6 linked regions of the Canis lupus familiaris genome follow. The protein of the gene in region 6 purifies or fractionates together with the protein of the main gene of each other region. This does not show direct contact. Links are inferred from orthologs where the notes say so. Each region holds a gene or a part of one and is shown on either strand. Other genes may lie near its edges. The genes, in order: WDR77, MEPCE, PATL1, SART3, PRMT5 and LSM4.

Region 1 (4,143 bases), on a different chromosome or scaffold from region 6:
TTCACGGCTGAGCTGAGGGCACAACTTGCACTCTTGGTGTCCACCAGGGAGACGGTCCCACTCTCATCACCTAGAGAAAGCAGGGAGCCCATCACAGTGGGTAAGAGCATGGGCCCTGGAGTCAGCCAGACCTGGATTTGAATGTTAGTCCCTCAGCCTTACACAAGCTAACCACTCTGTGCATCAGTTTCTTCTTTTGCAAAGTGGGGATAATTAGTCACTGGTGGTTGTGAAAATTAATGAACGAGGTAGTTATTATTTTAACCACAAACTATGTCATCACAGGTACAGCCTCATCGCTGTGAGAGCATGAGAGCTACCCCCACTCTACAACAGAATTCTCTACGTAGCAATCCACTTGTTCTGTTGTGATCCACTGACTTCTGGCTGCACCCAAAACATAGGAGCTGAAGCACATACTCAGGAATCAAATCTACCAGGAAAAAAGTCATCACATTTTGCAAAGTCAAACTAAAATCACTTTTGGATCATTCCACCTTCCCACCTCACCACTGGCAGAATTTACATAATGCTCAGGTGTGCTGGTGAGACTGAGCGGCCAGGGCTTTGTGCTTTACAGGGTCAGCGTGCTCTCATCCTCCCCCTTCCCAGAATCAAAACGCTGTGTGACAGGCCGCCTTACCAAAAACAAAGACTTCACTCTGCTGAGGATGCCAAGCCAGGGAGGTAGGAAGGTAGCCAGAGGCAGTGCAGCCTGCAAAGAGAGAAGAGGGATCTGAAACAAGACTTAGAGCCCAGCTCTGGGAAGGAGCTTCTCAAACAAAATTCACTCCAAATCCCAGAATCACCTTAATTTGCCTTCTCAAACCCTGCTAGCTAAGGCAGTTGTGTCCTTGCCCTCAATCTTCATACCTTCATTTATCCTTCAGCCTCTCCTGTCCTTTCTGGACACTAGTCACAGGCAGGTTTCAGGTATAAAACATGAAGGCAACAATTCTGGCCCCTTTATCTACCCATCCCAGAAACGTAAAGTATATCAGCCACCCACGAACCAACCCATCATCTTGGTACCCACTGCACACAATGGAATCAACAGCTTCAATGGGAAAGAGAGTGAGTGATTATGTCTCTTATGCCACAATGACTGAGCATTTGGTGACCTTGCCTTTGTCTCTGGCCCAGGAAGCCTCTTCCAGGTGGGTTCCTACTACCACCCTCCCACCACCGGCTCTCAGACTCACCCATCTGTGATGCTGGCTTGGGACAGCGGGTATCCCAGAGTAAAATTCTGTTGTCCTAGAAGAAGGAACAGGAAAAGAGCTTCACAATCCAAAAAGCAGCTGCGGGCCTCCACACTAGACTTGTGGCCAGAGGGTTCGAGTGTGGTTAGAAGTGAGGAGGGAAGGAAAGGCTGTATCTCACCTCACTGCATGAAAGGAACACGGAATCCTTGTGGGGAGAGGCTGCGACACAGGTGACCTGCCCAGAGTGAGCTGTGAAGGAGAGAGAGGCAAGCATGACAGAAAAGCTGCAGGCATCACTACCAAGCAGCCCAGATACCACCAAGGGACCCCTTATTTCATGAATGCAATCTAACACATTTTGTGAGAGATTTTGGATCAGACAAAACCTAAGAGAAAATGTTGATGGAGTTCTAAAGCTAAAAAGGCATGGGGAAGCCAATGAATTAGTAAAGACAAAGGAAGAAAGATCAGGGGCTGGGCAACAAGAGTGAAGGAATTTACATCCCAGAATAGCAATTTTCAGATTTTAGTACACACACCTCCAGACAACATAGAGAAACTTTCAAGGGAGGTCTGGACACTGACACATTTAGAGAAATAAACTTTCCCAAAGTTCTGTTTCCTAAAACTGAACTGAGAAGTTTCCAGTCTGCCAGTGCCCCTTTCCTTCCTCCTCTTTTACATTCCCCTCCTCCCAGTTTTAGAAGAGACACGCACTTCTCAGCCACCCCACATCTCACCACGGTACAATGCCCAGGTGCCTGAAACCCTAAGGTATTAAACAAAAGGGGCTTTTCCCTGAGAGCCAAAGAGCATCTCGGCAAAATTCAGTGCAGGAGCTGGCCCTGTCTCAGCTACCACAAACCACAACACACCACGAGCAACTAGAGTATTCTGGGACTCTATTTCTGCCTAACAATGAAAATTTTGAGAACTATGACAGATAATGTCCCGAGGACACATCTGACAAATTTAACTGAACTTAAAAATGAAGTCAGACCTTTTCTGATAGAAAGTTGAGTCTAGGGGCTCCTGGGTGGCTCAGTGGTTGAGCGTCGGCCTTTGGCTCAGGGTGTGATCCTGGGGACCCAGGATTGAGTCTGTCGGGCTCCCTGCATGGAGCCTGCTTCTCCCTCTGCCTATGTCTCTGCCTCTCTGTGTCTCTCATGAATAAAGAAATAAAATCTTAAAAAAAAAATCACTGTAAAAATCAAAACCAAACTGACGTGTTACTCAAAGCTATGGTTGCACACCGGCACCATCAGTATCATTTGGGAGCTTCTTAGGAAATAGTCTCAGGACCACCCCAGAGTTGCACTCGGGTAATCCTTTGGTACATTAAAGTTTGAGATGCGGGAATTCCTGGATGGCTCAGCGGTTTGGTGCCTGCCTTCGGCCCAGGACGTGATCCCAGAGTCCCGGGATCGAGTCCCACATCAGGCTCCCTGCATGGAACCTGCTTCTCCCTCTCCCTGTATCTCTGCTTCTCTGCCTCTCTCTCGTGAATAAACAAAATCTTAAAAAAAGGAAAAGAAAAAAAGAAGGTTGAGTCTAATTTGGCCAGCTGGCCTAACAAAGCAGGTTGGTTTTTAGCCAGTTAGGTTATTTGATAGACATTTGGCAGAGGTTACAGGGACTTAAACTGCAAATCCAAAATCTTGACCAACACGTGCTTGAAACCAGTGCACAATAAATGATATGGCCAGAAAGTACCTCCTTTGCAACTATTTAAATTTAAATTAGATGCCAATTTAAAAATGTGTGAGAGGATAGTTTTTCAAAAAATTTTCAGGAGGGCTACATGCTAAAAACTTTAAAGATCACTGCCCTACGATGCATACAGGCTGTGGAAACCACCTACTCTGAAGGCATTTACCAGGCTACTGGAGATAGTCTGAATATGGCTCTGCCCAAGACAGGAGGATGTAATCCAACCACCTTTCATAGTTCTTCCCTAGCCCTTGAATCCATAAAAAGCCAACACAATGAAAAAAAATTGACCACTCACTTGAAAGCAAAGTTCAGAGACAAGCACCATGGGAAAATACAAAAGATAAAAAGTGGTTCCTCTGCCCTCAAGGGATGTGCAATTCAGTGGGGGGAGTAAGACAGAAATACAAAGAACTGATGAAATACTATGAATGGAAAAAGTGCTGAAGGAGTTAGTGCAGACCAGGAAAATCCCTCATAGACCTAAAAAACAAAAGGCATCAGTGTTTTAACATTGACTATTTATAAATCTTGGACTCCCACTAGAGTCTAAGATTTATAAATAGTGAAGGTCCAGGATATGTAGGAGTTTCTAGTTTTTTGCTTTGGCACATATATGAATCATACACTTTGCAATTAGAATTGGCAGGGAATGGCACTTAGCTATTGAGTGAACCAGGTAACTACCTGGCATCTATATCTCTTAACCACACACATATTAATGCTCTAGACATCATCTCCATAGAGAATGGCTCTAAGAATAAAGTCAGCTGCTACTGCTATTGATGAAAGTAAAAAATAATAATAATAATAACATTAATAGAAAGTGACGGTTATCACTAGGAAAACAAATTTTATGGAAGTGAATATTCAAAAGTGCAAGATTCACAAGTTTCAGAGTATATACGTGGAAAATGCCAAGGCTCTACTATGGCTGGGTTTGATTAGACCAGTTTTTATTTACAGGGCAAGAGATAGAAGGGCTCCACTGCCATAACAAGAAAGTGAGATATTAATCCACAAGCCACGCAAATCATGAAAGGTGAGGGACTGCAGATGGAGAGATGAGGTGAGTGCCACCATCAGTGCGAAGTAAAACTTGGAAGCAAAAGGGAACATCAGAAATGGAAAGGGAGATCACTGACCAGGTGGAAAAAAATGTCAAAGGACTTGGGAACCCACTGATGGTGAGGAAGCAGGAGGGGTGGAAAAGTTTGCCTTCGAGCTG
Region 2 (5,358 bases), on a different chromosome or scaffold from region 6:
CAGCCACCACCCTATTCCTCCTCCCACCCCAAAACATTCCATGTCTGACACCTATCCCTTCATGCACCTGCATTCAGTGCGTTGAGAAAACTTTCCAACTGAACCAAATCTAGTGAGCAGCAGGAGCAGCCTGCAAGGGAAGGTGGACTGGTGTGGATTACAGTCCAGGACAGGAGCAGGGCAAAAGGAGTCAAACCCCATCTTGGGACCAGTAGTCATGACAAAGGAGCCTAGGTAGAGCCCCCATGTTTCCAGGTTATGGGGCGGGGGGAGACACTGTCAGTCACGATTCAGATCCCTGAAGATCTGGTTCTCCTGGCAGAGTACATGCAGAAATCCCTCTGGGTCATAACTTTCCTGTCTTATTCCCACTTAATCTCATCTTCACACCTGGCCCCTATACCAAGAGCCTTCAGACCCTCTTACCGTGACGAAGACAACATTGTTGGGGAAGACTGATGTGTCTGCTCCATCCAAGGGCACTTGGGGTGCAGCGATGGGACCCCGGCTGGCTGTCAGTGAGGCTGGGAAGCAGCTTCTCTTTCGGACGGTTATGGTCCCTTCCTCACTCTCTGCCCCTGGGTCCCCCTCAGAAGTCTGGGATGGCAGACGCAGCTCCTCAGACAGGTAGTGTCGGATGTTTTGGCGGGCCGAATGAATGAGTCGGGAATCGATATCCAGACCCACCATGCGGGATGGGCCCCACTTACAGGCAATGCTCAGGGTCAGATGGCCCACATTGCAGCCCAGATCTAGGACGTCCCGACCCCGAAACCACTCAGGCTTCAACACTCGAAGGCGCCCATCCTCACAGGAGGGATTGCGGTAACCATAGTACTTGCAATAATTCCCATACTGGAACTTGAGCTGTTGCTTTTTGAAGACTGCTGCAGGTAGTGGGTGGAGGTGGAGGTGGTGGTGGTGGTGGTGACGGCCTCCCCCACTCCCTCTGCCCTTCTCCTTGGGACCCTGGACTCCACCCCTAGCCCCTGCCTCTGACTTGCTGGAAGTCCTGCGACGTTTGCGATGTCGTGAGGAGGAAGACGGGGTTGCAGAGGTAACTGAGGCAGCTGGAGGGGCTGAAAGGGAGCCTGAGGGACCCTGGAGGGCAGATGGAAGGGGAGACACGACCTCATCCCTGCAGTTGATGGCTGTGTTGAGTTCATAGGGCTGAGGGGCATCCCGGTTCTGGCCCCTGTGCCGCTGCTGCTGTGGGGTGCCCTCCCCATGGAGTGAGGGAGTGAGGGGGGCTGTGGGGAGCACAGAGTGGCTATCATTCCCTCCGGTTGCCTGCTGCTGCTGGTGGTGCTGTCCCCGATGTCTATGCCGCTTCCGACCAGTCTTGAGTGGCGATGCAAGAACTACCTGGGCCTCATCAGTGCAAGTATTGAGACTGAGCGGGTCAGTAATATCTTTGGGGATGAGGATCTCCACTGGATCTCGCCCCTTGGCTGGAAGTGGAGATGACTTAGGGGTCTCTGCATTGAGTGCGCGGCTCACTTCCTCATCCAGGAGGCTATTCAGGTTCAGTGGATCAAAGATATTGCCCCCCAGGAGAAAGTTGGAGGGTAACACAGAATCACAGTCCGAATTAACCCGCCTGCGCCTCTTGAAGGCCGGATGTTTGAAGCCTCCACCACTCCCTCCCACGTTACAACTATTTCTCCTCTTTCCCCCACCTCCCCCAGGGGGCCGGTGGGGCTGATAGCCATTGCGGGGTCGAGGAGGGGCAGGGGGACCCAGTTCTGTTCCGCCTCCTCCCCTTCGCTCCTCCCCAACGTCAGGGGGAGCGGCTCGCCCGTGGGGATCCGACAAGCGGGCCTCCCCATGAGACTGCGCCTGGGGGCCGCCCCCTCGTTGCTGCTGCGACTGGCCTCCCCGAGTGGATGTAGCCCCAGGGCTCTCCTTGCCGACCCCAGAAGCCGGGACCCCCGTCGAGTGTGTGCGCGGGCCCGGCCCACGCTGCGTCCCGCCGCAGAGCTCCCCGGAGGCGGCCTCTCGGTGAGGTTGCAGCGTGGGGCCGCCCCCTCCGCCCGACTCATCTTTGAGCGGCGGCGGCGGGGCCGGCACCAGAAACGGCTCCTTCTCCGCCGCCATCTCGATCATTTCCTCCCCTTATTCCGTCCCAGTTGAGGGCAACGGGGGGGGGGGGGGGAGAACTAGGGGGCTTAACCCCCCTCCCTAGAGCCCGCTCCCTTCCCCCCTTCCCTGAGTGCGCGCGCAGCTCTGCTCTTCTCGCCTAGTCTCGCGCCCAAGCGCCTCCCCCGAAGCGCGCCCCACTCGCCCGCGAGACCAAAACAAGATGCCCGCGAGAACCGAACAACTCCAGGAATCAACCGCGCGTGCGCCAACGCCTTTCTCCTCCACCACTACCGCTTCGCCGCGAGCGCGCACTGCTAAAGCGCGTTCCTCTCGCCCCTGAATCACGCATGCGCACTCCGCCACCACCCTGGTTGCGCGCGCATGAGTACGAACCAACTTAACGGCTCCGGGAGTTTAAATATAGCCCACCTCAGCCCCCACAAAAGCCCACCACCCCAAACTGACACCCTACTTCCCTTCGCAGCTATGTCCGTCCCTACTGATATCCTTTGTCTCTGCCGCGCGATCCCACCCACCGTAGGCGGGGGACGGGGAGCTGGTGTGAAAAGGTCTCCTTGACACCCGACCCTTGTTCCTGAGGAATGAGTCTCAGCGGTCTCCGCCCGGCTCTAAACCCAGCAACCTCCCTACCCCGCCTCCTTCCTCCCCCTAGCGGGCAGCGCCTGCGCACACCCTTTTGGGCTTGCGCGGGTAGATACAGCACGTGCTGGAGATGACGCCCCTCCCTCCACCCTAGGGGCGGAGACTGTTACGTCGCTTCCTTAGATTTGGTACACGCAACGTGCGTCAGCACGGTTTGGAGGGGGCGTGGTCAACGAGTGGGGCGGGCCTCATGAATTATTCATATTTCGATCGCCCCCTTTGCCCACCTACTTAGAAAGGCTTCCGAAGGAACGGAGGGGTGAACCTAAAAGTAGAGGAAGGGAAGGAGAGGAGCGTACAGACGGCTTGCCTACGAACTGTTCTCAGTAAAATACAATAAGTCATTGTAACTCACCCCCCTGGGAAATAGTCTCTGCTGAACTGAAAAAAAAAAAGGCACTAAAACAGCCGATGTTGTCCAACTTCCTCTTCCCCCGAAATGGCCGAGTCGTTCTCTCGCTCCTCCGCTTTACCCCAATGGCGATCACCTGGGGACACCACGCCCTCCTCTCCGCCTCCACACCCACAGCCCTGGCACCAACACCTCTTCCCACCACCCGACGCCTGCGCGCGAGCCCCTAGCCCGCCGACTGCGTCCCGACGCCCACCGCAGCCACCAATAGCAGCACATTCGCCACCACCACGGCCACCTCGCACGCAGGCCTTCCCAAGCACACGCTCTCTTCGCGCAGCCTTATATAAAAACGAGTGTGGGCGGGGAAGAGGGTTCGGCCTGCTTTGGGCCCCCTGCCTCGGCCAATGGGGAAGAAGCTGCTCGGCGCCCTTTCCACAGGGTGCTAAGGTGGCGCGTTCTCCCTGCCAACATAGCTTGGGGAGCGGGTCCTGTGGCAGAGAAGAAGGCGGGAGGGGCGACAGTGGGGTTGCAGATAGTCTCAACTAAAACATCAAGATAGGGCGTGAACGAGACTAAAAGGAAGAATAGGAACCAGGAAACGAAAAGAGGAAGGAAAAAGCAGTCTGGGGTAGAGAGAAAAGTTAGTAACAGACAGATGTGCTTCATGAACGATCAGGCGCTGCTCCCGCCGCCTAAAAAAAAAAAAGTGAGGACACTGAGGATTATGGGATTTGTAGTTTTACAGGGCATTCGGCTGGAAGATGGCGGATAGAACAGCTGCGCAAAAGCAGAAGCAGTTTCGGCTGCGCATGCGCCCCAGTTTTGGATGCACGCCGCGGGGGTGGCAGCGCAGCTAGTGCGTGTCCTCACGCCTTTTCTTTGTGGCGGGAAAACTGGGTCGAGGTTGGAGGGGTTTGCGGAATTGCTGCAGTGGCTCATTCTGCTCTTTGCCTTTAGGTCCTCCTTGCTCCAGAAGGTAGCTGGCTTTTCTCCGGTTGCAGATGAAAGTGCTAGGCGCTGCCAGTCCTGGTACCCGTCGCCTGAGGAGAAATTTTCTCTTCTGGACAACCAACTCCTACCCCTCCTAAGAATCTCCACCGCAGACCTACCCTCCGCAAACAAACAAAAGTGACCCAGTATCCTGGCGGCCAGTGACGGGCTGAGCAGGAATGAGAATACGGGTGCCTCCCCCGGGGGTGGGGGTGCGGTCGGGCCTCTAACGGGAAGTTATCTCATGGTGGCGGTTCCTGAGGTGGAAGAGAGGCTTGCAGCAACCCCCTGTTTTATCCACTGAGGGGAATCAAGGACTTGGACTCTGGTACCTCCGATCTTAACTACCGTCCTTAAGAGAGAGTTGGTGAGGGAAGAGAGCGGGGAAAATGCGGATCTCCAGAAGTTCTTACCTCTGGTTTGAAAGGCGGAATTAGGGTTTTTACTGTTCCAGACCATGGCACCTTGTGAGAGGAAATGGTGCAGGCATGTAGGGGTTCGTGGGAATGTGCTTAAGTGAAACCAATACACAAAGGCGAGTTACTTTGGTAACGAGCACCAGTGGCAGTGTTGCAGCTGGCAGATAAGAGTCCGAATGAAATCAGCCCCCACAAAAGAAAACTTGTATTTTGGTGCTAAGTGGCCATATCTTTGTGCTTCCTTGCCCTCTGAACGGATAAGCTTCAGTTCACCGAAAATATATTGAAGAGATTTGGTACAAGGTTTAGTTCGTAGTTACCACAGTAAATGTTGTTAGATAATGGGCAGTAAAGGGAGCTGGGATCTTGTTTTTACCTTTTTTCTTGTGAAATCATGCTTGCCGAGGAAGAAAAAAAAAAACCCACTATGGTTATTAATGGGGGCATAAAAAATAAGCAGGGATCCACATGCCATTAGACATTGATGCCAAAAGGAAATCAGACTCCAAGATGAAAGATTTTAAATATAGTTTTCCAGGCTCACGGAGCCTGCGCAGACTGTGTGTCTGAGGAAAATTCTAAAGGGTTTACTTGTATTCTCTTAGACCAAGGATTCCAGGAATAGTATAAAGAGGGAACAATTAGATAGTTAGAAATTTGTGAACACGTTCTAAATGGGAGGGAGGAGGGTTAATGGTTTTTGAAAAATATTGACATGACTGAATTATTTAGCTAGGTCAGTTCTCAAGCTTTTTGGTCTCAGAACCCTCCTTACTATACTCTTAAAAGTTATGAAGGACTCCAAAGATTGGTTTATAGCTATATAACTTTTATATCTACTGATAGTAA
Region 3 (4,593 bases), on a different chromosome or scaffold from region 6:
ATTGTCCTTAAATGCAGAGGTCAGCCTTCATTGCAGTACAGAATCAGTGGTTTAGCAGATAGACTTGTAGATCCTTTACTGCTTGAGGTTCCTTAACTTTTTAAAACATGTTATAATTTCTAGTATCCCTATAATAAATGGGAAATACTTCAGATTTTTATTGATTATCCTTGCAACCAAAAAATGGGAAAAGATTTAGGTAAAACATCACATTAGATACATAGATTTTGGGGATCCCTGGGTGGCGCAGCGGTTTGGCGCCTGCCTTTGGCCCAGGGCGCGATCCTGGAGACCCGGGATCGAATCCCACATCGGGCTCCCGGTGCATGGAGCCTGCTTCTCCCTCTGCCTGTGTCTCTGCGCCTCTCTCTCTCTCTCTGTGACTATCATAAATAAATAAATAAAAATTAAAAAAAAAAAAAAAGATACATAGATTTTTGTACTGAATTGTTAGGCTCTGAGTAAAGAATAGAGAATATAAAGGTCTTTGAAAGCTGCCTACATTGCTAAGTTATTTGTCGGAAATGTTCTGTCCTTGCAGTGCAGTTCGAGGGCTCTTTGGGAAAGCTTACTGTCTCCAGTGTGAATAACCCCCGAAAAATGATTGATGCCGTTGTAACATCGCGGAGTGAGGATGATGTAAGTGTCAGCAGAACTGTGTTCAAGAAATGCTGGGTCAGGTCATCCCTACTCCCTGGGGGTCATTGTGGGAGGGAATCAGGCACAACAGAGTTGTTTGTTATCTAACTGGGAGCTTTCCTCCACCGCACCCCAGCACATCCTGGCATTCTGGTTTCCTGCGGGTGGGCTGAAGTGCTAACACCTTCCTTTTTAAGGCAGCTAGGCCAGACTCTGGGTGGCAGGAAGTCTTTACACTGGGTCACTGGCTGCAAATAGCATTGGCTGTTTATTCCAGTTTTTAAAATTACCATTTTCTATGTGTTTTAAGATTTTCTTGTGATTATCTTCATCTTCACTGCATTCTACGATTACCTTTTTATCCATCTGTAAACTCAGTTTGGTAGTCTTTGTGGGTGAATTCAGTCAATTCTATGACCTTTGTCCAGTTATCGTTGTTTAGATTAATGTTTATTAATTAATGTGTAAGTTTCTCTTACAGTCTTGTCACAAATGAACTATGCACACTTAGAAAATTGTTTTTAGGGGATCCCGGGGTGGCTCGGCAGTTTAGCACCTGCCTTTGGCCCAGGGCGCGATCCTGGAGTCCCGGGATCGAGTCCCGTGTTGGGCTCCCAGCATGGAGCCTGCTTCTCCCTCCTCTCCTGTGTCTCTGCCTCTCCTCTCTCTCTCTCTCTCTCTCTCTCTCTCTTTCTCTCTCTGTCTTATCATGAATAAATAAATCTTAAAAAAAAAAAAAAAGTCTTTTTAACAGAGATAAAGAATTCACACTGAATAGTCTTGTCTTTTTTTAGGAGACAAAAGAAAAACAGGTTCGGGACAAGAGACGAAAAACCCTTGTCATAATTGAGAAAGTAAGTTTTAGAATTTGTTGTTGTCGTTAGTTCCAAATAAGGAACTGTCAAATATATGTGTACACAAGAAGTGGAAAAGTAAGCAGTCGGTGTGCTGTGATTTTAATTAATGAGCATATTCTTCTTACATGCCTGTTGTATACCAGAACACACTAGAAAGGACGTGCTGTGCCTCACCTATGGCCTTGTGGAAAGAACACTGCAGTTACAGTGACACGTCCTGGGTCTTTGTCCAAGCTTGTTCAGTTAACTGCTAAGTGTTTGCGGTCAGGTCACCTTTCTAAGAAAGTGAAAAAAATTATATTATTCCACCTGTGAATTGAGTTAATTAAGTCAGTTCACAGGTATTACTGGATATCCCCTGGATGCTGGGCACTGTGCTGGATGCTAAGAAAAATGTGGTCCTCATTTGGCACTTAGTTTGTAAAGTATAAATAACAGTGTTGCAAGGCCATAGGCACAGTGAGGAAGGGCACAGAATGTGCAACCACACTGCAAGTCACATCGTCTTCATTTCTGAGTCTGTGACTCGAGGCAAGCTACTTAATCTTTCTGTGCTGTCGTCATTTTCTTTATCTGCAACAGTGGAGACAGTAATAGTCTTTTTTCAGACCGGGTTGTGAAGAGCATCAGGTGAAACGAGTATGTGCACCCAGGAGTGAAATTATTGCTGTGTTTATAGATATAAGGCACACCTGAAGCAGTGATACAAGTCATTTATGTTACAGTGCTATTCTTGCTGCTGGAAAGTTTTCAAAGTACTGTCCGTTCCATCCTGGTTAGAAGTCAGGAGGGACAACAAACAGGAATTCTTTAAGTCCTTTCACTCTGTTTTTCTGGATTCAACAGCACCTTTTTCCTCTCAGTCTTACTACAGTTTGTTTCCACTCTTTGTCTGTACCTGGTGGTCTTAAACTCTCAAATTGTTTATCAAATACTCCGATCCTGACCCAGCATGCTGTCGCCTGCTTTGTGTCTCACTTAGACCTATAGTTTACTCCTGGATGTGGAGGATTATGAAAGGCGGTATCTCCTAAGTCTAGAAGAAGAGCGACCTGCCCTGGCGGATGAAAGAAAGCACAAAATTTGTAGCATGTATGACAACTTAAGGGGGAAATTGCCTGGACAAGACAGGTAAGAATTGTACACTTGGAGTGACACGTGAGACCAGCCAGACTCCTCACTTGGCTGACCTGAGCTTTCTACATGTCTCTCTCTCAGATACCTTCCTTACCATCCTGGGAAGCTCAGAGTCTATCCTTCTGGCCTAACTCAAGTGCCATGTCATACAAAGCACTTCATAATCCTTCCCAGCCAGGAAAAAAAAAATCTCTTTTTTCCAGATTCATTTATTCATCACCAATATATTTCCTACCTGCTAAGGCCTATGCTGGGCACTGCAGATATGGTGGAGAACAAGATATGGTTTCTGTGTTAGAGCCTACAGATTGTGCTTGCTTTATGCTTTACTGTAGCAGGTTCAACCTTGTAATCTTTGTGTTATCTTTTTCTACTGAGATGAAAAGTTTAGACATTTATATTCTCTTGGGATTTCCATAGAATGCTCATATGCTATGGAAGCCAATCAATCTTCCGGTGGGGACTATGCTCCTTAATATAGCTGTTTATCTGTATCTGTCATCTCTCCCATGCAGGATCTTGCTAACAGTAAATGTTCTATAAACCCAAAGTGTTTTATTTGATGAATGCAAGAGGACTCTGTCCTGATAATTTCCTTTCCTTTGCCCATTTAAGAGAATCGGTGATTATTCTAAGCCAGAACACGCACAGACCAGAACATAAAAATAAGCACCCTCTTTTCAGCACACCTTTTCTGGAGTCAGGTTGACATACAAGTGGTTGAATAAATGTAGGTTTATCCATAGTTTGAGATGTTATGCAGCCATCAGATCAACGTAGTTGAAGTATGTTTATGGAGATAGAATATTGTCACAAGAAGTTGTTGAGTGAAGAAAGTCAAGAAACAAAGCTGTGTGAATTCTCTGGATTTTTTATTTTTTTTAAGATTTTAGTTAGTTATTCTTGAGAGAGACAGAGAGGCAGAGACACAGGCAGAGGGAGAAGCGGGCTCCATACAGGGAGCCTGATGGTGGGACTTGATCCTGGGACTCCGGGATCACGCCCTGAGCCAAAAGCAGACGCTTAACCACTAAGCCACCCAGGAGCCCCATTTTTTTCTTTTTTAGTGAAAAAATATACAGCACAAATGTTCTTAAATACGATAATAATATAAAGTTAATTCTGAAATGATTGTTTTTATATCCTTTTTGCTTATGTATGTTTTCAGATTTTGCCGTATCAACCATGTTTTTTGTTTAGTTGTATAACACATAAAGGAAACGAATGCATGTAGTTTGAACAAGTCTTTTTAATGTACATCTGTGAAAGGACAATTTTCTACATTTGAGAAACTTGAAAAACGACTTGTTAATGTGTGGTTGAGAGTTGGAGAAGTAATTCTCACTATTTTGCAGCACAGGTCATCTTAGGGTGAAAACGAGCACAGCATATTCGTTCAGTAACATGGAAGAGGAGAAAAAGGATGTCTTCAATTGTTCTTGCTGACCTAAGTGAGCATTTCCTTCCCCCGCAGGCCAAGTGATGACCACTTTGTACAGATCATGTGTATCCGAAAAGGGAAGAGAATGGTTGCCCGTATTCTTCCTTTCCTCTCCACAGAGCAAGCAGCTGACATTCTCATGACAACAGCCAGGAATCTCCCTTTCCTTATCAAGAAGGACGCACAAGACGAGGTGATCCCCCATGTGGGACTTCTTTCCTTTGGGTCTTCATAGTTTATAAGGTTTCTAGAATCCAAATTTCATTTTCTCCCCCTCCTCATTTCTGCTGTCTTATCTAACCTTCAGCAGTAGGATTTGATTATTTAAAGGAAAACTCCAGGACTATATTTTTAATCCCACTTTTGCTCCAGTAGACCAAGTTCCTAAACCAAGGAAAGCAATAATCCCATCTTAATTTGACATAGTTGTGAGGTTATGTTGTATATCAGAATTTTGGGAGAAGCAGATAATTCAGCCCTACTCCCAACATGCTGAATCAGAATTTACAGAGGAAAAAT
Region 4 (4,593 bases), on a different chromosome or scaffold from region 6:
AAATTGATCGCTAACTGTGAAAAAAACTTGCACAGTCTTGTTACTGAGGACTTTCTGACAGATTAACTTTTTTCTTGTAACTTTTCAGTATATAAAAAACATAAGCATTAGAACACAGATTATAGGGTGAAAAGCTCCTGGACCCGTCTCCTAGCTCCAACAGTTAACTCATGGCACTAGTCTGTTTCGTTTATATCATTAACCCTCTTCCCCCTTTCGTGTGATTTTTGAAGCAGAGCCAGAAATCACATTTCTTTGTAAATATTTCAATATGTGGATATAAAATATTTTTTTTATGTTTTTTTTTTTTTTAAGATTTATTTATTTGTTTATGATAGATACAGAGAGAGAGAGAGAGAAAGAGAAAGAGAGGCAGAGACACAGGCAGAGGGAGAAGCAGGCTCCCTGCAAGGAGCCCGATGCGGGACTCGATCCCGGGTCTCCAGGATCACACCCTGGGCCAAAGGCAGGCGCTAAACCACGGAGCCACTCAGGGATCCCCGATATAAAAGATTTGAATCAGGATCCAAACTAGGTCCATCCATTCGGATTGGTTGATGTCTCTTAAGGTGTTTTCATCTATACATTCCCCTCATTGCATCTTTTCTTGCCCCATTCCTTCTTACAATTTCTTTCTTGAGGAAACCAGTCCTATGAGAGGCATTTCTAAGGAGATTTCTTTTGTTAGCTGATTGTGCTGGAAATGTCTCATGGATGGTGAAACCTGTAACGATAGCATTTGATCTCCTAACTGTGGACTTCTTTATCGTAGGATCGGCAGCTGAAAGTGAAGGATTTGGTTTTATCTGTACATAATCGTGCTGTTAGAAACTGCCCCTGGACAGTTGCCCTGTGGACTCGTTACCTCTTGGCCATGGAAAGACATGGAGTTGACCATCGAGTGATTTCTGGTGCGAATGTTTTTGTGGGAAGAGTCTTAGGCTTTCTGTTCCAGGCCAGACACATAGTGCTGTGATAGTCATTAAATCAGCCTTCCCTGGCTGGTTTGGGATATTGGGTATTAGTGACAAAAAAGGCCCTAAGTGGGAAATAAACTGGTTATAAGCTTTTATCATGCTAACACTTATTGTGATTTTCCAGGAAGTGGGAGTCTTTTCTCCAAACTTACTTGACCTGGAATTCTTTTAGTGCAGGGCATCTTGTGGAACGTGCCCTTTCTAGAACACAGTTCATGCAAATCCTGTAGGAGCTTTTCTGTTGAACCTTTCTCTCTAGCCCATTTCACTTTATTGCATCTTGTCATTATTATTAAGTCATATAGTATTTGATAGTCAGTGGAGGCTTTTGTAACAATCTTGATAACTCTTGATAACTTCCTTTTGAATTGGTAACAAATCCTGGCTTTTTCTTCAATTCTAGTGACCTTCGAGAAAGCTTTGAGTGCTGGCTTCATTCAGGCCACTGATTATGTGGAGATTTGGCAGGCGTACCTTGATTATCTGAGGAGAAGGGTTGATTTCAAACAAGGTATTTATATTCACATGTCAAATTCAGTTCTTAGTTTTTTCCTAACATGTTTTGGTGAGAGTCCTAGTTGCCCAAATACATTATGATTAGGCAAATGATGTAGACCAGCCATTGACAACTGTTTTCCCCCAGAACTTTTAGCTACATAAATCCTTAACCAGTCTTGCTGTGAATTGTAAAGGAAGAGTTAGGGTCCTTATATTTTATCCTGGCTCCTGCCAGCATTTTCCATACTGTGCTTTCTGTTCTAGTGTCTTTCTCCCCAACTATGTGATGAGGGCAGGGACTGGCAATTCTATTTCTGTGTCCCCAGCATGATGCCAGGTGCATAGCAGGCTCCCAGGAGTTTCACTGTAGGATTAAACAAACAAACAAAAAAGACATGGTATGCGGTTTCCTGAAGCCAATCCTCTCTTGCAACTTCTAACAGACTCCAGTAAAGAGCTGGAAGAGCTGAGGTCTGCATTCACTCGCGCCTTGGAGTATCTCAAACAGGAGGTAGAGGAGCGTAAGTGTGGCTTCACTCACTCCTTGATCCACTTGTCTTTCCTCTTGGTGGATATGCCTTCTCAGAGGCTGTTTGTCTCTAAATTCATTTCTAATTGTGACTAATTCTGTTCTTCCAGGTTTCAATGAGAGTGGAGATCCAAGCTGCATGATCATGCAGAACTGGGCTAGGATCGAGGTAAGTGTGTTTGACACATCTGTCTGTGACATCCACCTTTGAAGGACATTTGTGTAATAATGTGGCTAACATTGAGTCAGAATCCTAGGTGATGGTCTAGGGTCTCTAAGAGTTTGTGTTCTATATCTAGCTTGATGAGCATTCAGCTGTTTCTTAAGAGAAACACCAGTACTTGGGTAAGAACTTATGCAGCAGACATCGGAAATCCAGGTGTTCACTTGTGGACCGCCCCACCCTGGTGCGTGGTTTGTGAGAGTATACTGGATGTGTACTATCTGGCAGGCATTATACTGTGTGCTGGGGAAATGAGGTAGACCTGCTCTGTGCTCCTAAGTCTTGAATGTTGTGTGGGAGTCAGAAATTTGACAAATAATTAGGGAATAGATATTATTGTTGGAGCAAGGACCCCAAGTGACTAAGGTATGGAACCTGCTCTTGATCAGCTCACAGAACTGTGAAATTCTAATCATGTTTTATTTTCTGAGGGGGAGTCAGGTCAAAAAAACAAATATCTATCAGGTTCAGAGAGGTTCACTTGTCCAAGTCACTTAAATGGCAGAGCTAGGACCTACCTACTCCTAGATCAGTCTTTCTCTGCATTGCCTCTTGGATTAAACTTTTGTAGTAAGCTTGATAAAAATAAAAACCTGTGGGCTCCTGCTCTTAGCTCTCATATAGTATAGGCCAACAGCTTGAGACTTGTCACCTCTAAAAGCCGGAAGTGGTTGAGCTGGGCCTGTTGCTGTGCAGTGCGGCTGGGGAATATCCAGGGAGTTACAGAACACTGATCATCAGTGGGGGGTTTTAAGGCACTTCTGTTCAAAGTATGTTTTGTAATAGGTGCCAACGTTGCAAGTTTTGAGTCTTTCCTAGTGGAGCCTATTTATGCATTTTAGGCTCGACTGTGCAATAATATGCAGAAAGCTCGGGAACTCTGGGACAGCATCATGACCAAAGGAAACGCCAAGTATGCCAACATGTGGCTCGAGTATTACAACCTGGAGAGGTAACCAACCTGGGGGCGGGGTTGGTGGTGCTTATCAGGGGTCAGCTGTTGTGGGTCCTGGCTGCCTCCTGCCAGCCTGGGCTTGCTCCTCCCCACAGGCCTTGGGCCTTTATCCGCCTGTCCTTCATTAGTGGCTATATGTGTACTGGGCGAGGTTAGGAAACTAAACCTAATATTTTGTGTCCAGGCTTGTTGTACAGCCAAACATTTCTTTTAGTTTGTTATTTTGGTTTGTTTTGATTTTTGGACCTGAATATTTTATTTGAATTTTTGGAGAACTATTTTTTTATATTGGTTTTGTATGTAAAAGTAGAAGATATTAAAAAACAGAGAAAAACCCCAAATTATCTGCATCTATAAATCCAGAGATGTAACCCCTGTTAGCTAATGGTTTTTGAGATTTTTCTATGCTTAATTTTTTTTAAAAGAAAATGCAATGACAGAGTACATGTTACAAATTTTAAAAGTTATTTTAAATAAATGAGACATGACCAACTGTTGTTAACATGGGGAAGATGTAAAGAATAAGACCATCTTTTCTACTTATTGTATCTTGAACATTGCATGTCAGTAAATGTATTTCTGTATACTTTTTTGGGGAATATTTTGTTTTACCCCCCATTTAAAAAAAAAAAAAACATGCTCAAATTAAAATAGAGCATTTGCCAAACTATGTGGTAGAGAGTGAAAGTTCCTTAGCATCTCACCCCCAGAGATGACACTATTAAAGCTTCTTGAATATTGTTCTAGGTCAGCAGTTCTCAAGCTTTTTGTTCTCAAGACCTGTTATACTCTTAAAAGTTTGAGAACTGTAGAGAGCTTTTGTGTATGTGAGTTGTATGTATGTAATATTACCATATTAGAAAACTGAGAAATTAAAAATTGTCACAATAGTAAATTCATTACATTTAACATAAAGAATATATTTTGTGTGTTTTTCAAATTCCAAAATAATTTAGTGAGAAAAGTGGCACAGTTTTGTAGTTTGGCAAGTATCTTTAGTCTGGCTTGGAAGACAGTTGGATTCTGATGTCTATTTATGCATTCACTGTGTTGTGAATTCTCATTGAAGAATATGAAGAAAATTTGGCTTCCTGCAGATAGGATATTAAAGAAAAGGGTATTTTAACCTTTTCAGATAATTGTGGATATTTTTTCACACTAGGGCAAAATTCAGCAAGTGGTAGTTTTTTAAATAGTTTCAGTGTGGAATCTGAAACCATACCGAGTTTTTCAGACTTTGTTATATTAATATTCACTGGCCTGAAAAAAAGTATTTTTTTAAAAATTTCATTTACTTATTCATGAGAGACAGACAGAGGCAGAGACACAGGCAGAGGGAGAAGCAGGCTCCATGCAGGGAGCCCGACATGGGACTCGATCCCGGGTCTCCAGGATCATTCCTGGGCTGAAG
Region 5 (4,470 bases), on a different chromosome or scaffold from region 6:
GGTGACAAGGCCAACGCCGTGGGCGGAGCCAACGAGGAGGTACAATGGACTTCTTTGCTACTCTCTACTCTTGATTTCCCAAAAGGGTCACGTGTCGTACTCATCCGCGACAGCTTCACGGCGAGCACTTGCATTTGTTTCACGCCGCCCGGAAGGATGTTGGGCTGGACTTTCCCCTTCTGAGCGTGCTGGCCACGCAGCCCTCCCAACTATCTCCTCTTACCCTCTGTGCTTGGGCCCGGGAAAACACAAGTGTTGTCACGTTTGTCTAATTTCACACTCTCTTGTGGTTATTGCCTGGTTCCACAGCTACACACTTCCCAATTTTTCGTGTATGTGCTGCCGAAGCGAGCACAGCTACACACCTCGCACTGCAAAAGTAAACCTGGAAGTTTCTCAGGTGACTCCTTGGGTACAGCAATACTCAGTCCTCTAACCAGAAAGAGAAGGAACTGATGTCCACTCTCACGTTCCAAGGGGATCCAGAATCCTCACACTTCAGTTGCCCAATATGTTAGCTGACAGAAACATAACTGGTTAGATCATTGAGAGAGCCACAGGGTTAGAGGATCTGTGTTCCAGTCTTGATTTGAATATTATATATCTTTGTGTCAGTTTCAAATCCTCCTGTATAAAATGGAGAATTGGCACTCTTACAACTTCAAACTCTAACCTTGTGACTTTATTCAAATAAAATAGGTGGCTTCTTGTTGGAGGTGCCTGAATGGCTTCCAGTTTTCCTCCCAAGAGGTAGCTGGCAGTGCAGCAGCTCAGGAAAGCGGAAGGGAAGCTGGCTTCACTCACTACTCCCATCTTTCTCCACGAGGGCAATCTTTTCTCCCCAGAGAAAAGCCTAATCACAGATCTTAATGGACCTCTTTGCAGCTGGTCCCAAAGACCTACACCCAGGAGTCCAAGAGTGGCCATTAAGCTTCCTATATACAGAACAAAGATCCTTTGGGTCTTGAATAAAAGCACAGATCTGAATATGCCTAGGTTTAAGTAAGGTGTGAGAAAGCAAAGGCGCAGGGCAGCAGAGTTGGAGCAGGAAAAGGCTGATAACTTCACTTTATTTGTATTTCCTCCCACACAAAACCATCAAAACAGAAACAGAGATGGGCAGGGAAAGGGATGAAAATGTGTTTAATCCACATGTTCTCAGGGCTATTCCAGGGAGTACTTGAGGCTGAGTGCCTGTTGGAGTAGCTTCAGATCCAGCACAAATTCCTCCCTCCCTGGCCTGGAGTCTTTACAGGTTGGTGGCCTGAGCCCTGCAATTAATTCTCATCCTTTGCCCACCTTGCTGTAAGGCAGGAAAGCAGACTGAAATGCTCCGCTCTGATGGGCAAAGGGGAATCACAGCCCACAGATGTACTGCACTCTCTGTGCTTCAGGAGCGGAACTTTAAGCTGCTTCCAAGGCTCTGAACATTGTAGGCAGGGCTAGAGGCCAATGGTGTATGAGCGGCCTGTGGGGTTATGAATAGCAGAACAGACTGGTGCTGTCACAGCCCACTCATACCACACCTTCTTGGAATTGCTGCATCGCCAGAAACGCACACAGATGGTCTGGCCTTCACGTACTGTAATGGGCTGCTGCAAGAAGAAAGACAGAGAAGTTTAAGGTAGAACTAACGAACTGTATATGGCAATATACTACTGAGCTAAGTGTGGAGAGAAAAGGATAAAACCTGACATTCCAATCCTCATGAAGTTTATTTGAAGTCTTTCAGAATGAATAATCAGAACTTCACAATCAGACATTGAACAGAAAATCAAAAGTGTGATGAGGGCCATGAACATGCAGAGGATATGCACTACAAGAGCACCTATGAGACGGAACTCAAACCTAGTTCTGTTGGTCAGGGAAAGTTACCAGACAAGAGGAATGTTTAAGGGGACCAGGAAGGTAAGTTAAATGGGTGAAGAGATGAACAAAGAACTTTCCAGGCAAAGGAGAAAAGTGTGAAAACCTGAGGCAGGAAAGAAGACTGTATTAGAATCCTGATGAGTACTGAGTAATGTACAGATATGCTGAATTATTATGTTGTATACCTGAAACTAACAGAACACTGTTCATTATAGTTCAATTAAAAAAAAAAAAAAAAAAAAAAAAGGTCCACAGGGGTGACACAGTGTAATCAAGGAGATAGTAGCTGAAGAGACAAGCTAAAACTAGATCACACCGAGTCTTACAATGTTAAATCTTTATTCTGAAGGCAGTAGGAAGTCACTAAAGGTATTTTCCTTTTTTAAAGATTTATTTATTTGAGAGAGACACACAAGCCGGAAGGACAGGGAGAGGGAGAGAGAATTCCAAGTGACTCCACGCTTAGCACAGAACCCAACACCAGCATTTGGCTCAATTTCAGGACCCTGAAATCCCAATCTGAGACAAAACCAAGAGTCAGACACTTAATTGACTGGACCACCCAGGAGCCCCAAAGTTGTTGAAAGGTTTTAAGCAGTACAGAATTATGATCAGATTAAAAGATGACTCTTGCTCAAGGTAAAGACTGGACAGAATAGACAGAGGAAATGTGGGAAAGCCAAGGAGAAAGGCAATAAAAACATCTCAACACCTACAACAGATCCACGAGCATGTGGGAGCAGAACATGGGTCATAGTCAAGCATCATCCTGAGAGTAGGAAAGGGGCAGAACACCAATGGCAAAAGTGACACCTTAACCCACTGAGTCTGAAAGGTGATTCCTGGGACTCCTGGGTGGCTCAGAGGTTGAGCCGCTACCTTTGGCCCAGGGCGTGATTCTGGAGTCCCAGGATCGAGTCTCGCATCGGGCTCCCTGCATGGAGCCTGCTTCTCCCTCTGCCTGTGTCTGCCTCTCTATGTCTCAAATAAATAAATAAATAAATAAATAAATAAATAAATAAATAAATAAATAAATAAATAAAATTAAAAAAAAAAAAAAAAAGAAAGAAAGGTGATTCCTACCTTGATGGGGAAGAGGATGGGAAACCATGAGAACATCCCAGGAGAGTGAGTTTCTGGACGGATACCTGTGTGAAAAAAATAATGAAAAAAACTGAGGTCTCTGTGACTCTTCTTTTTGCCTGGATTGAGGGGAGTGTCTTCTGTGAACAGAGAAACAAGTAACCTAAGATCCACATTCACTGATTCCTAGGCTCCCTGTGACTCTAAATGAAACATCTACATAAGTTGCCCAGATAACATACTCATAGCGTGCCATCCTCGGCCCCAGATACTCACTTAGGGTGATGTCCTGATAAAGCACAGTCTCAAAGTAGCCTGCAAAGCCATGTAGCACTGTATTCACCTCCACGGGAAACTCCAAGGTGCAGTAGCGGTTGTTGTCAATCATAGGATCTGTTAGGGAGGAGTTGCGTGGATGACAAGGGACTAGAAGCTCTAGACAACTTGGTAAAGCAAGAACAAGAACTAGCAAGGGCAGCTTAGAGAGAGTAGACCCAGGATCGCAAAAGAAGAAACCACAAAGTAAGCTTTCAGCCATCCAGTCAAGAGGACAGCCACACAGGAACCCACCTCTATTGGGATGGCTGAAGGTGAAACAGGGCTGGGGCGCAGACAACTGGTGGAAGTTGTGCAGCCGCACCACATAAGGCATCTCGAACTGGGCCTGTCCCAAGAGACCGAGCAAGAGCTGAAGCAGATAGGCAAGACATCTACTCCCCCAGGTAAAGAAGCCTGGGCGTCCAGGACACAGAAAAGGATAAAAAAAAAAAAAAAAATTAAAAAAAAAAAATTAAAAAAATAAAAAGAAAAGGATAAAAATATTTTCACTTCAGTCACTTTCCCACATCCCCATCTCTTCCTTCACCTCTTCATTTTCTCCAGTGGAAGCAAACAGTTGATGCTAATATAGGAAAAAAAAAAAAGAAAAAAAAAGAGGACTAAAAAGAAAAGAGCTCTGCAGAAGACAGTGGCTTTTTACCTCAGGGTCTCGGTCCTTTTCTCGACAGGCTCTGACCTCATTGTATAACTTGGAGGAGGAGATGGGAGCCAGAAAGGAGGTGTACTCCCCAGGGATGCTCACACCATCATCTGCAGAGCAGGAGGATCATATAAGTTCCGAAGGGATGAAAATGGTATGTCTAACTGAAGGTTTAAAGCTCCCACATCAAATAGACCCAGGCAGGGGCACCTGGCTAGCTAAGTTACTAAGCTGGTGAAATGTACAACTCTTGATCTCAGGGTCGTACGTTCAAGCCCCATGTTGGGCATGAAGCCTACTTAAAATAAAAATTGAAAACAAAACAAAACAAAACAACCCCCAAAACAGACCCAGGTGGCTCAATGTTGTCACATTCCCAGGCCAACCTCCTTCCAACCCCTGTCATGGGAGATTCTACTTCTAGGTTAACCTACAGAGACACACAAGATTAAAACTGGAAAAAACCCTAAGATATTCTGAACTAATGGTTCTTCTGTGGGGTCTTAGAACTCTTAGAGATCTGGATGAAAGCTAAGCCC
Region 6 (5,130 bases):
GCAGGGCAGCTGCTTCTCTAGGTGGTGGGGACTGGAGGCTAGAAGTGGTCCTCAACCCCCACAGGATGGCTTCCATGGAGAGGCTGGAGGGGAATTCCCACATCCCACAGCCTTTCCAGAGAACAGCAGCCTAGGAGCGGTCCAGTGCCGGCAGGAAGCCAGGCCCAAGCCCACTTCCTGCACTGGCTTCCTGGAAGGGCAAGATAAAAAGGAAGAAAGGGCCACGTGGAGAAGGCGTGGCTGCTCAAAGGAGGACAGGCGAGCAGGCCAGGGCTTGACCTAGCCAACCTGCAGCTCCTGCCCTCTCATTTGGACTTCATCTGTGCGATGGTACCCGGGTACAGAGAGCCACGGAAAAGCAGGAGGATCTAACACACGGGGGCCATGAGCCTCGGCCGCTGTTTACTAGGTGAAGTCTCAGGCTTTCTCGAGCAAGCCTGTTTTCTTGTGTCAAAGATGGGAATGTGGACCAGGATGGCAATGACACCCTTGGGTCTTCCTTCCAGATCACCCAAGAGGGGACAGAGCAAGGTTGGGCCTGGAAGGCAAGAATAAAGACAGACTCAGCACTGAGAGACAGAGAGGTATAGCCAAGGTCCCCCTAGATGAAGGACTAGCAGCCAGAGCAGGAGGGACCTTCCCAGGGACACCACAGCAAGATCCTGGGGAAGCCCACGAAAAGTAAGCTGAAGCCTGTCACCAGGAAACCCACAGGAGTCCTTTTATGGCATGTGCAGCTTCTATGCCCCTGCTGGCCTCTCTTTTGTCCCAGCAACTGGCAGCACAGTCCTGGAGAACCCCAGCTTCCCTGTCACGGGCAGTGCCCTATTCAGAAAGCAGCAGAGAGGACATCTAAGACACAGAAGTGATCCACACCTGCTCCCAACACTCCCCTGCACATCCACTCCCCAAAGGAGTCACAAGGCCAAGCCAGCTCCAGCCAAAGTGGCCCATTCGGTTTCCAGCAAGCCACACCCAGTCCAGCTTTCTGACCTTTGTTCCTGCAGTTCCCTTGGCCTCAGCAGTCCTTCCTCAGGCTGGTGGCTGCTCACATATCACCTCTCACCTAGCTTAGCCAGGCCCTCATAATAACCTCATCTGGGGATCAAGATTTCCACCTGGGCCACCCCCTGCTGCTTCCATTCTAGGACACAGCCAGTCTCTAATTATCTTGTTTATTATGTCTCTCTGGCTAGACTGGAAAATTCAGAGGGTGTGGACTTTGTCCAACACCGAGCTCAGGGCCAGGCACTCGAGAGGGACTCAGTAAATATTTGCTGAACAAATACACAAGAAAATGCATACACCATCCGGGGAGGCACATGGTGTGGTTGGGATGCCTGCCCCACCCCACAGATAAGAAAAGGAGAGGCGGCATTGGGAGGGACAGCTCTCTACGGCTGCAAAGGCTGGGAGCAGGGTCCACATCTTGCCATTTTTGAGATTCTCATCCCCAAACTGCTGGAGACAGAGGCAAGAGGAAGGGGAAGATCCCTGAGAACTTTAAAAAACTTGGTGGGGAAGAAATTTTTGAAGGTGCCAAGGGAGATGGGACAAGCCAGGACACCATTCCAGGGAAGACAGGGCCACCTGGAGTTGGGAAAGTCAAAAGCTTCTGGAAAAAGCATCCTTTCCCCTGGCCTTTTTCAGAATGTCTGGAATCTGGTTCTCAGGTCTAGACCAATCTAAGATTAGACCCGATGGCTTCCTGAGGCTCCCAATTCAGGAAGCTGTTACGGACTCCCCCTTGCCCCCCTATACCCTCAGATCCCTGCTTCCGGCCCCACTATAACCCACGGGGAACTGGGAGTGTGTCATGCCTTGTCCCTTCCTGGACATTCTTCAGGCTGAAAAAAAATATGTTCTTTGCACAAGCACTGTTCTAGGCTCTAGGAACATACTGGGGGATAAAATCCAAAGATCCAGGGAGCTTAAGGAAGAAGGAATTTTCCAGTTCCACCCCTCCTCTCAGGCCACCTCTGCCCTCCAGCAGAGAGGAACACACTACACTCCCTTCTCTCATTTCCTGCACCAGTGAGCAGTACTTAGTGCAACCCTCAGCTGAGAAACATGCAGGGACCCTGAGGGACTCTGGTGCTGATGGGCCAGGTACTCTCCTAGGCCTGCTCTGAATTTGTGTGGTCTTGTTTCCCTGTCTATACATTAAAAAAAAAAAAAAAAAAAGTAAGCTCTACTCCACGAGCAACGTGTGGCTTGAACTCACTACCACGACATCAAGAGTGGCAGGCTCTGTAACTGAGCCAGCCGGACGCACCTCCCTGTCTGGACACTGAAGGCAGGAGACACTCTGACTTAAATCCAGAACTTTCAGGATCTGATAACAGCATGATCCAGAAGAGGCTTCTCACCAGGACCTCAATTTCTCTTCAGTGAAATGGGAGGGTGCAGTTAGTCCACTCCAGGCTCAAAATGCTTCCCCTTCTCCGGAAACGACACCCTGTGTGATCCAGGGAGAAGACAAAGCCCCCTCTCTGGGTCTATTTTTTTCAGCCTTAAAACGAGAGGCGTAGAAGATCGTGCTAACATTCTAAGGGCCTTGCAAATCTTGACATTCTCAAACTGGTTTAGTTTGAGAACTCAGATCGGGCCCCCTCGGGTCGCTCCCACTTCCCAATATGTGAAGCTAGATTGGGTCGGATGCACTCGGAGCCACTCCCCTGCCCGAACTCCCTCTGCAGCATTCACCGAGCCCTTTAGCGGGTCTCTCAGGCCCCAGTATCCCCATCTGCAAAATGGGAAGACTGCAGCGAGGCTGACCTAGGATTACACGTTCGTCCAAGTCTATTCCCCCCGAGACTGACAGGCTGGATGCTCTGGGAGACCTCCCTGCCCTCTCCGGCCTCAGTGTGCCCGTCACGGGCCGAGGCGGCAGAACCGAGGCCCTGACAGCACGCTAGCTCCGCGTCGCCCCTGCCTGCAGCGCCCGCCCCGAGGGCCCTCGGCCGCCGCGTTCCCAGCCTCCCGAAGAGACCTCGCCGGCGCCCTGCCCTCACCATGGTGTCGGCGGGGAGCGGGCTCGCCGACCACTTCCGCCGCCGCCGCCGCCACTCACGCGCCGCCGGTAGCCGCCCTGCCGCGCGCCACTAGGCTGAAATGAAGTGGCAGCGACACGAACCAATCAGCGTGGGGCTCGAGGGACGAGCAGCCAATCCACGCGGAGTAGGGGGGGTCGGCTAGACAACGACGGGCGAGGTTGGCTGTGTTCTCGCCGGCCAAATGAGAGGCCGTAAAGTGTCGACGTGAGTGCTGAAAACGGGGGCGGAACCGCGTGCGCCAGCGCAGGGGGCCTTATGGGTAAAGGCGCATGCGCGGGTGAAACTCTCTCAGCCCTCCTGGGCTCCGCGCTGTGGGCAAAGCCGGATATTGCTGCAATTTGCAAAGGAAGAAATCGAGGCTCCGTGGTTATTGGGTTGTGCCTAATGTCTCCCTTAGGGCTCCTACACTTTTGATTTTCGTTATTGTAGTTGATCCTTATCCAAGGCATGTCCTTTGGTTAGGTTGGAATCCTGACTGTGCCCCTCTGAGCCTCAGTTTGCCCCTCTGAAAATTGGCCTCGTGATAGTGTCTACCCTCGGTTGTAGTAAGGATGAAAGGAGTTAAGCTAGGTAAAAGCACTTAGTACCCAGGCGTGTGATAAATATTTATTGAGCACCTGCTAGGTGTCTGTTCCTGGAAACACAGAGTGAACAAACCAGACGAAACTGGCCCTCCTGGGACTTAGGAGCCCGTTGAGAAGACAGGTGGCAAGGAAAAAAAATAGGCAAATGTGTTAGTTTCCTTGGGCTGCCATACAAATTACCATAGACTGGGTGGCTTAAAACAGCAGAATTTGGGGCACCTGGGTGGCTCAGTCTGTTAAGCATCTGACTTCTGCTCAGGTCATGATCCCAGGGTCCTGGGACCAAGCCCTGTGTGGGGCTCTGCTCAGTGGAGAGCCTCTGTGGTTCTCCATCTCCTCCTCCCCTCCCCACTGCTTGTGCTCTCTCTCTCTCTTGCTTGCTATCTCAAATAAACAAGATCTTAAAAAAAAAAATAGAGCTTTATTCATAAGTCTGAAATCAAGGTATCAGTAGGGTTGATTGCTTCTGGAGATTCTTAGTGGCTATTTGTCCCATTCATCTTTTCCAACTTCTGGTGTTTGTCAGCAATCCTCATAGTTCTTGGCACCCAGAAATATTGATTTCTGCCACTGTCTTCACATGGCTTTCTTTGTGAGTCTCATTATCTCAAGTCTTCTCTCTTTTTCTTTTTAAAAGATTTTATTTATTCATGAGAGACACACACACAGAGAGAGAGGCAGAGACACAGGCACAGGGAGAAGCAGGCTCCCTGCAGGGAGCCCGATGTGGGACTCCCCTCCTGGGACTCCAGGATCACCCCCTGAGCTAAAGGCAGGCGCTAAACCACTGAGCCACCCAGGAATCTCCTCTCTTTTTCTTATAAGGACACTCCTTTCTCTTATTAGGCCCACCCTAAATCCAGGATAATATCATCTTGAGATCCTTAATCACATTTGTAAAGACTTTATTTCCAAAAAGGTCCTATTTGTAGGAACGGGAATTAGAATTTACCCGTGTTATAATAGAACATATCTTTTTAGGGGCACTACTCAATCCACCTCATCAAGTAATTACCAATTGGGTGACCATCAAAGGTTCCTTCCTCTGCCTTGACCTTTACCCATTCTTTGACCTTCAAGCCTGTAAATGAGCAATAGTTGCCCTCCTCCAGTGACTACCCTTCTTTAGGTCTCCTGAGTGTCAACATTGGCTTGAGAGCCTTTCTTACCAAGATCAGGGCCAAGTTCTTCCAGCTGAAAAGACCCTGTGCTTCCTGGAGCTGGCTTGGGGAGGCCTTGATGCTCACCTTCTCAATAAAAGATTTCCCTGCATCAGGCTTCAGAGACCTGGATGGAAGAAGATGGGAACCCTTAGGCCCAGCCACCTCCCACTAGATAGGTTTTAGGCACTAAAATTTCCCCTCCAGGACCTGGTGAAGAGAGGGGCATCTGTGTGCCCAGCTCTGCTACAAATGAGCTGAGCGGCTCAGGCATGTTTTTTGCCTTTCCTCCTTTTTTAAATTTTTCTATTTTTAAGATTTTATTTATTT

Evidence for each region.
Region 1: the proteins of LSM4 (region 6) and WDR77 purify together in Homo sapiens (affinity purification with mass spectrometry; 3 studies listed by BioGRID and IntAct, with this or other methods). This does not show direct contact. The link is inferred for Canis lupus familiaris from reciprocal best matches to the Homo sapiens genes LSM4 and WDR77.
Region 2: the proteins of LSM4 (region 6) and MEPCE purify together in Homo sapiens (affinity purification with mass spectrometry; 3 studies listed by BioGRID and IntAct, with this or other methods). This does not show direct contact. The link is inferred for Canis lupus familiaris from reciprocal best matches to the Homo sapiens genes LSM4 and MEPCE.
Region 3: the proteins of LSM4 (region 6) and PATL1 purify together in Homo sapiens (co-immunoprecipitation; 4 studies listed by BioGRID and IntAct, with this or other methods). This does not show direct contact. The link is inferred for Canis lupus familiaris from reciprocal best matches to the Homo sapiens genes LSM4 and PATL1.
Region 4: the proteins of LSM4 (region 6) and SART3 purify together in Homo sapiens (affinity purification with mass spectrometry; 4 studies listed by BioGRID and IntAct, counting the BioPlex papers as one, with this or other methods). This does not show direct contact. The link is inferred for Canis lupus familiaris from reciprocal best matches to the Homo sapiens genes LSM4 and SART3.
Region 5: the proteins of LSM4 (region 6) and PRMT5 purify together in Homo sapiens (co-immunoprecipitation; 3 studies listed by BioGRID and IntAct, with this or other methods). This does not show direct contact. The link is inferred for Canis lupus familiaris from reciprocal best matches to the Homo sapiens genes LSM4 and PRMT5.

The regions. Positions count from the first base shown.
Region 1 is NC_049227.1:41,098,795-41,102,937, reverse strand, and holds part of WDR77 (methylosome protein 50), read right to left. Parts: intron 1,455-4,143; coding exon 1,384-1,454; intron 1,258-1,383; coding exon 1,203-1,257; intron 716-1,202; coding exon 644-715; intron 71-643; coding exon 1-70. UniProt on the Homo sapiens protein: Non-catalytic component of the methylosome complex, composed of PRMT5, WDR77 and CLNS1A, which modifies specific arginines to dimethylarginines in several spliceosomal Sm proteins and histones.
Region 2 is NC_049227.1:9,182,484-9,187,841, forward strand, and holds the start of MEPCE (7SK snRNA methylphosphate capping enzyme), read right to left. Parts: upstream 3,095-5,358; 5' UTR 2,107-3,094; coding exon 427-2,106; intron 1-426. UniProt on the Homo sapiens protein: S-adenosyl-L-methionine-dependent methyltransferase that adds a methylphosphate cap at the 5'-end of 7SK snRNA (7SK RNA), leading to stabilize it.
Region 3 is NC_049239.1:37,560,152-37,564,744, forward strand, and holds part of PATL1 (protein PAT1 homolog 1), read left to right. Parts: intron 1-541; coding exon 542-639; intron 640-1,433; coding exon 1,434-1,493; intron 1,494-2,478; coding exon 2,479-2,627; intron 2,628-4,107; coding exon 4,108-4,267; intron 4,268-4,593. UniProt on the Homo sapiens protein: RNA-binding protein involved in deadenylation-dependent decapping of mRNAs, leading to the degradation of mRNAs. Acts as a scaffold protein that connects deadenylation and decapping machinery.
Region 4 is NC_049247.1:18,687,302-18,691,894, forward strand, and holds part of SART3 (squamous cell carcinoma antigen recognized by T-cells 3), read left to right. Parts: intron 1-772; coding exon 773-911; intron 912-1,380; coding exon 1,381-1,488; intron 1,489-1,918; coding exon 1,919-1,996; intron 1,997-2,114; coding exon 2,115-2,173; intron 2,174-3,069; coding exon 3,070-3,179; intron 3,180-4,593. UniProt on the Homo sapiens protein: U6 snRNP-binding protein that functions as a recycling factor of the splicing machinery. Promotes the initial reassembly of U4 and U6 snRNPs following their ejection from the spliceosome during its maturation.
Region 5 is NC_049229.1:3,370,161-3,374,630, forward strand, and holds the end of PRMT5 (protein arginine N-methyltransferase 5), read right to left. Parts: intron 4,042-4,470; coding exon 3,932-4,041; intron 3,617-3,931; coding exon 3,523-3,616; intron 3,346-3,522; coding exon 3,229-3,345; intron 3,018-3,228; coding exon 2,953-3,017; intron 2,122-2,952; exon of another isoform or gene 1,596-2,121; coding exon 1,443-1,595; 3' UTR 1,040-1,442; downstream 1-1,039. UniProt on the Homo sapiens protein: Arginine methyltransferase that can both catalyze the formation of omega-N monomethylarginine (MMA) and symmetrical dimethylarginine (sDMA), with a preference for the formation of MMA.
Region 6 is NC_049241.1:45,114,284-45,119,413, reverse strand, and holds the start of LSM4 (U6 snRNA-associated Sm-like protein LSm4), read right to left. Parts: upstream 3,104-5,130; 5' UTR 3,018-3,103; coding exon 3,015-3,017; intron 1-3,014. UniProt on the Homo sapiens protein: Plays a role in pre-mRNA splicing as component of the U4/U6-U5 tri-snRNP complex that is involved in spliceosome assembly, and as component of the precatalytic spliceosome (spliceosome B complex).